2 linked regions of the Oryzias latipes genome follow. The protein of the gene in region 1 interacts with the protein of each later gene in a pairwise test. Links are inferred from orthologs where the notes say so. Each region holds a gene or a part of one and is shown in the gene's direction. Other genes may lie near its edges.

The links.
Region 2: the proteins of zmym2 (region 1) and forkhead box protein P1-B come close enough for resonance energy transfer, tested with the Homo sapiens proteins (2 studies listed by BioGRID). The link is inferred for Oryzias latipes from reciprocal best matches to the Homo sapiens genes ZMYM2 and FOXP1.

What each region holds. Positions count from the first base shown.
Region 1 is NC_019879.2:11,194,200-11,198,622, forward strand, and holds the start of zmym2 (zinc finger MYM-type protein 2), read left to right. Parts: upstream 1-1,479; 5' UTR 1,480-1,655; intron 1,656-4,423. UniProt on the Homo sapiens protein: Involved in the negative regulation of transcription.
Region 2 is NC_019863.2:6,332,810-6,337,273, forward strand, and holds the start of forkhead box protein P1-B, read left to right. Parts: upstream 1-1,389; 5' UTR 1,390-1,536; intron 1,537-1,658; exon of another isoform or gene 1,659-1,737; intron 1,738-4,106; 5' UTR 4,107-4,161; intron 4,162-4,464. UniProt on the Homo sapiens protein: Transcriptional repressor. Can act with CTBP1 to synergistically repress transcription but CTPBP1 is not essential. Plays an important role in the specification and differentiation of lung epithelium.

The sequences.
Region 1 (4,423 bases):
GTTTAAATCAATATTAACTATTTTTTAAATATACATTTAAATACATATTGAGTGGAAAAAGAAACTTTTAAAATTATGCTCACATTTTTGTTGGTGGGGAGTTTATTTCTTTCACATGAACGTCCCTGGAGAAACAATGTAATGTTAAGGAAGCATTGCTTCACATCTGCATTTATCCTTTTGGTAATACAGTAATCCCCCGCCCATTCGCGGTTTAATATTCGCGCCCCGCCCATTCGCGAATACGGGGGGATTACTGTAGTGTGTATCTTTAGCAGGAAATATAGAGATCTACTCATACAGTCATCACAAACTCTATTTTTACGACCATTTTGTCCTTCCTTGCTAGGATAGGCTCCAGCAACACCTTGACCCCAGAAGAGATAGAGAAGGTTCAGAAATTAAACAGATGGACGGGTGAATGGATGGATGAGTCAATGTAGGATTGGGTCAACTGTGTCTTAAAATATGGATTGATTATCTTCCAACTGTTTTAACTTGCACCACATCACCAGTCGTGTTACCAGTGTTTGAGCACAAAACCACGCCTCTTAATTGTTTCCCTCAATTCAAAAGTTTATGGTCAAAGTTCTGCTATTCTTATCAGACAGTTACTGATGCATTGGCAGAACTACTTCAATTTAAAACATTTTCATTCATTTAGTTCCCGTTGTTTGTTTTTGGCATCTTTGGTTGTTAAATTCTGATTTTTTTCATGAGTTAGATCTCTTAGATGTTTTCTGCTAAGGTACCTTATATATTATTTAACCCCTAAAATTTGCTTTGGTTCCAAGACAGCATCTGTAGTGACTTTTCAGTTGTCTTCAGTTGCCTGTTTTAAACCTCAGTAGTCTCTGCACTCACTGGTGAGTTTGCCAATCACACAGGCTGTTTAAAATGACGTAGGAATGGCATTGACGCCCCTATTAGGATCCTTTTCATTCAAAATGCAATGTGAAGGTTATGACACAAATTTGTGATGCCCCTTGGAATAAATTCTTGGAACTTTGAGTGAAGCTATGCCTAATGTTTTTGGGACATATTTCACATTATTTTGATTTTGTCTTTGCTTATTTATTGATTTATGCATTTGTGAATTGTCTCTAGACGTTTTGTCTTTGTTATAAAACACAAAACTGATCCGAATTTTGCAGTCAAAAGTGACAGATTTTTTGTATACTCTGAATTTAGAATTTTGGACAGTTTCAGGTTTGTTACAGACTTATTGTGTAATACAATGAAAAATATTTTTAAGAAAAAGAATCTGGGGTTATACTAAAAATTGATATCAAGCATTGCCCCAAGAACTGTATTAAAGATAAATTATTTGAGCAAATTGTAAAGAAGAAACTAAGATTAAAAAGGCCCTGGTTAAAGAAAATAGATTGTTTCTGTTTTGTTTGTTACTTCACGCAGTTATTTTTTTTCTTGGCTTGTTTGACCATTAAAACGGTCATTAGGGGTGATAAATCTGAAAAGATTGTGAGAAATTGCTTTCCTTTGACTGTCAGAGAAGACACAGAACTCAAAGGGGTCATCTTCGTGATAGACGATCTCTAGACGTAAAGTGGAAAGTTCTACGTTGTGCGCATGCGCTCCCCGGGATTAATGTCAGGGCACAAAAGTGGCGCTACACCGTTTCAAGATCTTCTCCGGTAAGCGATCCCCCCAGCCTGTCCATATATTCCACTTTCACGCCAAATTGCTCAAAGTTTTGGGAACTTGTGGGGGTTCTGGCGGCATTCCTGGGAATTCTCTTCAGAGCCAGCCCGAAAGCAGCATTCATATGAAAGGCTTTATTGGTAGTTACATTTTTACAGACATTTCCCTTTACGCTCCGTGTGCTGTGACTGCAGCCGCCTCCAGGCTCCACAGTATTGTTTAGTCGGCTCCCTAATGGCGGACGGCGGGCACTGGCGTTTTCCGCTGTGAGGTGTGCAGGGAGGGGGCAGATTTGGTGTGGTCGGGGCTTGTGGCTTACACCTGGCGTTCAGCAACAGGAAACCGCTCCAAAAATGATGCGTGCGTTTATCTGGGGTTTGTTGTTGACACAATTGAAGCTTGTTCATGTAACGGCAAAGGGAAGGGCGCCCCTTCCGGCGACCGGGTGTAAGTGCAACTGATTGCGCTAGGGTGGACTCTGCAGGGTAACTTTCCAATTAAAACCCCGGCTTCTCAGGTATCCTAGAAATCAGTAATTTTCAGCTGTGTCAAATACTGTAGTTGATACCAATGGCACGTGCCGGGGCGAGAAGGGCAAACTAAGCGACTGAAGAGGTTTTTTTTTTTTTTTTGGGTGAAAACAAACGTCAGCAGACGCTCGGAGTTGCGTTTTTAGCGCGTGCTCTGACGTGTTCGAGCTTTTTTTTGGGCCACATTGTCACGTATTTGAGTCAGTTGCGTTCGTTTTTAGAGGCGTTTTAACAATGGCGCAGTCTGGGTTTGCTCTCCTCCCCTCGGTCCGCCGCTAATCCAATGGCTGTTTGCGCCAGGAAAGGCAGGGGTGGGAACGGAAAACCCTCAACCACGTTTCCAATGAACCCCAACTTGGGAGCTCAACCCCCCCCACCACCACACACACAAACGCACGCTCGCGCGCGCATGGCTGAAAGAGTTGCGCAGCTCACGTAGCTGTTTTTTTTTAAACAAAAATATTTTCTTTGAAAGTTGTGGAGTTGGGTTTTATAAAGGTAATAAAAAAGAGGAGGGGTGACAGGCGCCGAGTGAACCGGGCGCCTGAATCTGATTCGGTGATTCCTGAACTGTATCATTAATCAAGGGCACGCTTCCCAGAAGGCTTTGCGCGCTTCCAATCCTCGGTGATTTTGTAGTTTCTCCTCAGGAAAGCCGCGTGGAGGGTTTTTAGTGCGGCATTTTGCTACCAGGTAACCAGAGGGGGCTGTTCTTGAGCCCATCAGCTGGTTGGGGGGGGGGGGGGGCAGGACATTATGCATCAGTGACATAAGCCTTATATAATAACCTCATTGGAATACGTCAGGAGTATTCTCCTCTGGTGCAAACAGCTGCACATCTCCACCTTGTGACCTTCTAGGAGAAACAGCTGGAAAGGCAGAGCAGCACCTTTGAGGTGGTGATGTGGCGCAGGCCCTGTGTGTTATTGCAGGGGGGCAGTCCCTCCACAGCTCCGGCCCACCTTCCTTTCCACCTGGTGTTGACATTGGGAGTGGGGTTGCATGTCAGAGCTAATTAATGCTGGATCCTCGTTTTTCCTCGCAGTCACGTGAACGCAACCTTCCTCCCAGCTCTGCATTGCAGTCTGGTCTCGGTCTAAACCAGGCTATTTCCCTCCATCAGAGCGCAGAGTCCTCAGCTGGTGGGATATTAGGTCAGAAAGCTGGATGGGAGATGCTGCTCATGCAGGAGAGCAGATCTGGGGATTCTTACGGCATTTCATCATTGTTAAGTCCAAAAATATCAAATTTTCTAAATCTCTGGACATCAGCAAAGGTATTGGCTTCCAGAGAGGAGCCTATATGAAATAAATGCTATGGACTTCCATCAGGTTTTTGAACAAATGCATTTATCTTTGGGGGTTTTCTGCTTCTTGTGCCTCCTGTCACTTGATCAGAGACTCTTTCCTCATTTGGCTTCACTGTCAGGCAGAACCAGCCTGCTGTTGAAGGTTTTCACTGCAAAGTTAAAGACCTACTCTGATGAAAATTGCGTTTTTGGTATTCTTGTGGTGTTTTTCTCACGATGGAAAGCTCAAAATTGCCTTTCTTAGTATTTCTTTATTCAAATTGTTGTGAATCAGGAATAAATGAAAAAATGCTACAGCGAGTCACACGTTCCCTTCTCCACTTTAGTGTAATGCGTCCACTTGCTTCAATATTGCTTGTCATTTTTGTTGCACTGGTAATGTTAGGTTGGGGGTGTGAGGGCTGTAAACTAGCAGGAGAAAGTGTAAACAGATAGATGATGGGATGTGGGAGCAGGCTTGCTCAGCACCAACAGTCCTGTCCACAACTCAGAGGTGAATTTCTAACGAACTACTGCCGCTCTGCAGAAACTGTCTTAAAAGACGACACCGCTTTTTGATTTTGACTAAAAACTGCACAATCATTTAAAGACCACTGGGAACGCTTTTGCAAAAGATCATGATGGGAGTGGTTCTTAAAGATTGTTTTACTCAAGAACAGCATTTCGAATTAGATTAGATTCAATTTATTTAGAAAATTGAATAAATACATCACATATGTAAACATGATTTATTCAAAAATCAATTTAGGATCTTATAGCCCTTGATTGGATTTAGTTAGCAGACCCAATGCAGCAGTTCCTTTTAGAATAACAACGAATATTGAATCCTTTGACCTTTAATCAGACCTTTACTACAATTGCAGGTCAGGGGATAAACTTGCTGGACCAGGGCCTTTTCTTGCTGCTGATTTTGTTAAAGGGC
Region 2 (4,464 bases), on another chromosome or scaffold:
CTCAAGGGTTATAGGAATACTCAGAAATGTGTGAATAGATCAAAATACCACTTTGGGGTTATTTTTGTGACGAATTAACATTATAATACACTTAAACGTGCAAAAAGTTGAGTCTGTGTGATAAAGGCCCTTTAACTGTTCATTTGCATTTAATCTTATTAAAATAGTTTAAGTTGAATGGTTGGCCCTCAGACAGTTAAAGCTCACCAAATCTCGCCTTCTTTACTAAATGTTTGGACACCCCTGATGCAGATGTGTCAGGAGAGTGGCAGAAAGAAGCCACAGGACAGCAATAACAGAAACAACCAGAGGGGGGAGACAGAGGAGCAGAGACCTGCCAAGCCATGACACAAGTAATCTTTAACCAATAGTAACCTTTGCGGCTCCGCTCTCTTCACTGAAATGGTCACTGAACTCCATGTAGTTGTGCCCTGTTTCCCTGGTTTTGCCTTGATTGTCATTTATTTTTCCCGCTACATAAAATGTCGACCAAAGCATACATTATGAAGATATGAGTGTAAAATACAATATTATATTTTTAAAATAAAGATTTGGTGGAATGCCGACGGACCAATACTAAATGTAATGAAATAAATGTTACATTCGAATAAAAGTGAAGGTTCTGCCACTTAGACTAAAAGTGTTCAGAAACAACATGCGCTGTTTTAGTGTTTCAGTGGATTTTGGAATTTGTCTTCCATACTGACAAGTAGCCACACGGTGGCGCTCTCCAATAACAAACCGGCTTTCTGCATTTCCTGCAGCAGGCGTCTCTTCCAGCTGTGACAAATACAGATGATAGAAATAAGATAAGATGTTCATCTAAATAATATGTGACGAAAAATATATTTTTAAAAACGAAGAAAAACAAACAAAATAAAACAAACGAAAACAACAACTAACTAACAAAAACAAACAAACAAAAAGAAGGAGAAAACAATATACTATTAAGCAGACTATTGTTGCTTTCCTGCAGACAGTTCAGGCCTTAGAATCTGTTCATAAACCAGCGGGATGAACAGAAGAGTTTTTCTAGATTATGGCCGTAAATTTAAAACAGATTTCTGACGTAAACAGCACTTTTGTCATTTTATTTTCTAGCATTTAACACGATTGTATTAATCAGTGGTTAAAAAGAAAAGGTTTTCTCTAAATATATCCTAGTTCACGCTTTCACTTTAGTCTTTACAGGTGTGTCTTTTCTTTCTTATCTAACTTTGTAACAAAACTATTTCAAATCAGCCCATTTTCCGTAACTAGAAGTAATTTAGGACTTTTATTGGAATTGTTCGGGTAAATGATGTTTCCACAAAGTCCCTGCAGAGCGATGAAAGTTGTTTACAAAGCAGGTGGATGTGACGTCAGAGGTTTGGACATCAAAACAATAACATCAAACCCGCGATTCTTCCCTTTTCCTCTTCTTCTTTCCGCGTGTAAAAATCTAATAACATTAAGAAAAGGCGCTCGTGCCTGTGAGTCAGAGCGGCACGCGGCGACAGTCAAACTCCGACTTTTGCTTCGTTTTCGACGCCCTTGGTAAGCATCACTTTCTACTGCTTGGAGCCAAGTTAGTTAGTTAGTTAGATAGTTAGTGACCCCCCCCCCCCCCTTCGCGGGCAGAGTAATATCGGTGTTTTTACGGTGTGGTTTTATGTTGGTAGCGAACTCGCGTGCACGGGTTAGCCATCGGTACCGTCCGCGTGCGCCGGTTAGCCTGCTGAAGCGTTTTCCTCCACGGTAAGTTTGGCTCTTCTGGCGGTGCTCGCTCGCGTGTTTTGGCCGAGGCTCGTGGGGCTGCGCGGCATTCAGCGGCGGCGGCAGACAGACACGCAGACGAGCCGTTCAAAGTTTCAGCCTGTTCTGGGCAAACAAACAAACAAACAAAAACGAGTTGAAGTTTCAGCGGCGCCGCAGAAGTTTCAGAGCAGCAAAGACCGTTGAGACACGCGGTGGTGGAAGGTGCAAATCCCCGCAGGGGCTCTGGAGGGTCAACAAAGTTCGAAGCTTCTAGGAAAAAGTGGAGAAAAGAACCGACTAGAGGGAGCGCGCGTGAGCGCCGTGATTTGTCGGTCCCGGGATGGAGCTTCTCTCCACCTGTTAGCAGGTTTCTGCCTGAACTTGAAGGATGGATGGATGGAGCTTTCCCGAACTTTGAAGACTTTTCTTCAGTTCATGGAAGTGTCCTCCGGCCGGAGGCTGCTGTTTCTGTGCGCCTTAGCAGACTCAGCAGCCCAACTGAAACGGATATTCAATTCATTACAACATGATTAGCTCTCTAGTCTACACAAAGCCGTTCAGCAACACAACGCGCTGCGACTTCTACACTATACTCGCTTTTTTTTTCTGTTGTGAACATTAAACACCACAAACAGACGTTTCAGTTCATCTACATCGAAGCAAAAATGTGTCCAAAATGTTTGCTCGTGAATTATAATTTTTAAATTAAAATTCAATAAAACAAAACTATGATGCAACAGCGAGAAGATTGTGTAACGTTTACTATCAGAGCATAAACACTGTAAAATATATTTTATATGCATCTGTTAGTTTTTTCTAAATATATTTCAGATATTTGGTGTCAACACATCAGAGAAACTGGACAATTATTATTTTTACAAAGTGTTTTTTATTATCGCTCTTCTTTTTTTTTAAATAGAGCTATAATGGTAACAAGGTAATTCCTCTTTTGTAGACTCAATAACGTTTTTTTTCTATTCTAATAAAAATAATAAATTACACCCATTTGTCAAGGATTATTAATTTGGAATGATTTAATAAGCTCCTGCTTTTTAGAATGAAATCTCATTTATTTTATTTATAAATAAATAAAATAGAGAGTGACATTTGTTCCTCCCTTGAACCTCTTGCAGAGGGAGAATTTAAAGACTGTGTGACAGAATTCCTTTAAACGGCACATGTGACATAAACAATACTGCTTTAAAAAACTATTGCTGGCAGTGTTCCCTCCTTTTTGGTCTTTGGATTAGTCATTGTCTGAGGAGAGAGAGAGAGAGAGAAAAAAAAGTGTCTTTTTGTAGAAGGAAAGTAAACAGCCTCCAACAAGCGAACCTTGACAACCCAGATTAAGGAAAACACGGGAGATCAAACAGTGCTGCTGCTGGGCTGTTGTCATGAGCAGCCTGAGAGAGAGCGGCAGACTATTTGAACAGGCTCTGGGCTCTGTGTGCTCACTTATGCAGAAATAGACCTTCACAAATGCTGACCCAGCCTTTAAAACAGAGGATGAGCTTTCTTTACAATATTTGCAGGCCTGCCGTTTGACATAACCGTTCTATAAGGGTTGAGACGCAGTCGTGTCACGGAGAAGAACACTTGCACTGTCGCCTGAGTGTGCATTTAGGAACAAGAATAGCTGTTTTTTCCCCTCTTCTGTCAGGCACGTTGAGTGAAAATATAAGGTTTTTTTTTGATTGCAAAAAAAAAAAAAAATCACCTTGGTGTATTTTAATCATATAGACTTTAAGAAGAATGTAAAGGCACCGATGTCACATATGTGTGTGATTTAGGAAATCATTCTGACGTTCTAGAGCTTGGGGTGATTTGTGAAGAGCTGAGGTTCAGTGGTAAGAAAATAATCCCTCACCGGAGCACCGAGTGTGAGAGCTTCACCAGCAAAGCCAGCGTCCCTCTTTCATCCCACTGCTCAGTATTTGCCAGCACACATTAAAACACCTTGTGCTGGTAGTGAGGAGTGCCCCGCTTTCCTCTGAAAGACAACCACTTTTTAGTGATTAACACTTTAATTTTTATTAGATTTCTAGTCTTTCATTTTTTTAACACTTATTTCTTAGTAATTAAATAAATAAAATGCGCAGCTACTGTTTTGGGTTTCATGTTTCACTTCTTTCATATTTTTAAGGGGTTTTCAAGCTTTCAGAGACGAACCGTCTCAAAGCATTTCTTTACATTTTGGAGTTACATCAAGCAACAAAAGTGAAAGGAAAAAGTGTGAGGTTTTAACCTTTTGATGACTCCTCGTGAGGCGAAATGACACCCGTCATGTGAAAACGCTCTAGTGTTCTGTGTTGTCTGAATATCGGCGAGGAAGAGAGGAATGTTTACACTTTCTGTCTCTGCTGCTACAGGCAGACTGTCCTCCATGCCAGGAAGGCTGTGTGGTCAGGGAGCAGACGCCTTCAGGTGAGCTCCCTGTTCCCACTCCTACGGCGTGATGCTGCTGACTACCGTGAACCCATGCAGCCGTCGACTGCCGTCCTCTGTCGTCCTCTGTTGCTAATGAAAGCAATCTAACAGAAAAGCCACCCGCCAGCTGAAGACGTGCAGCCGCTTGTAATGCTAACCACTTACTGGGAATGACTAAATTCATTGTTTTGCTTTTGTTTTGTAAATGTAGCCCAAATATATCAGGCTCTATCTTTTGATTTGCTCTAATAGATGGTTCCTACATTCGTGTAGAATTGTTCATTAAATACATTAGAAGTG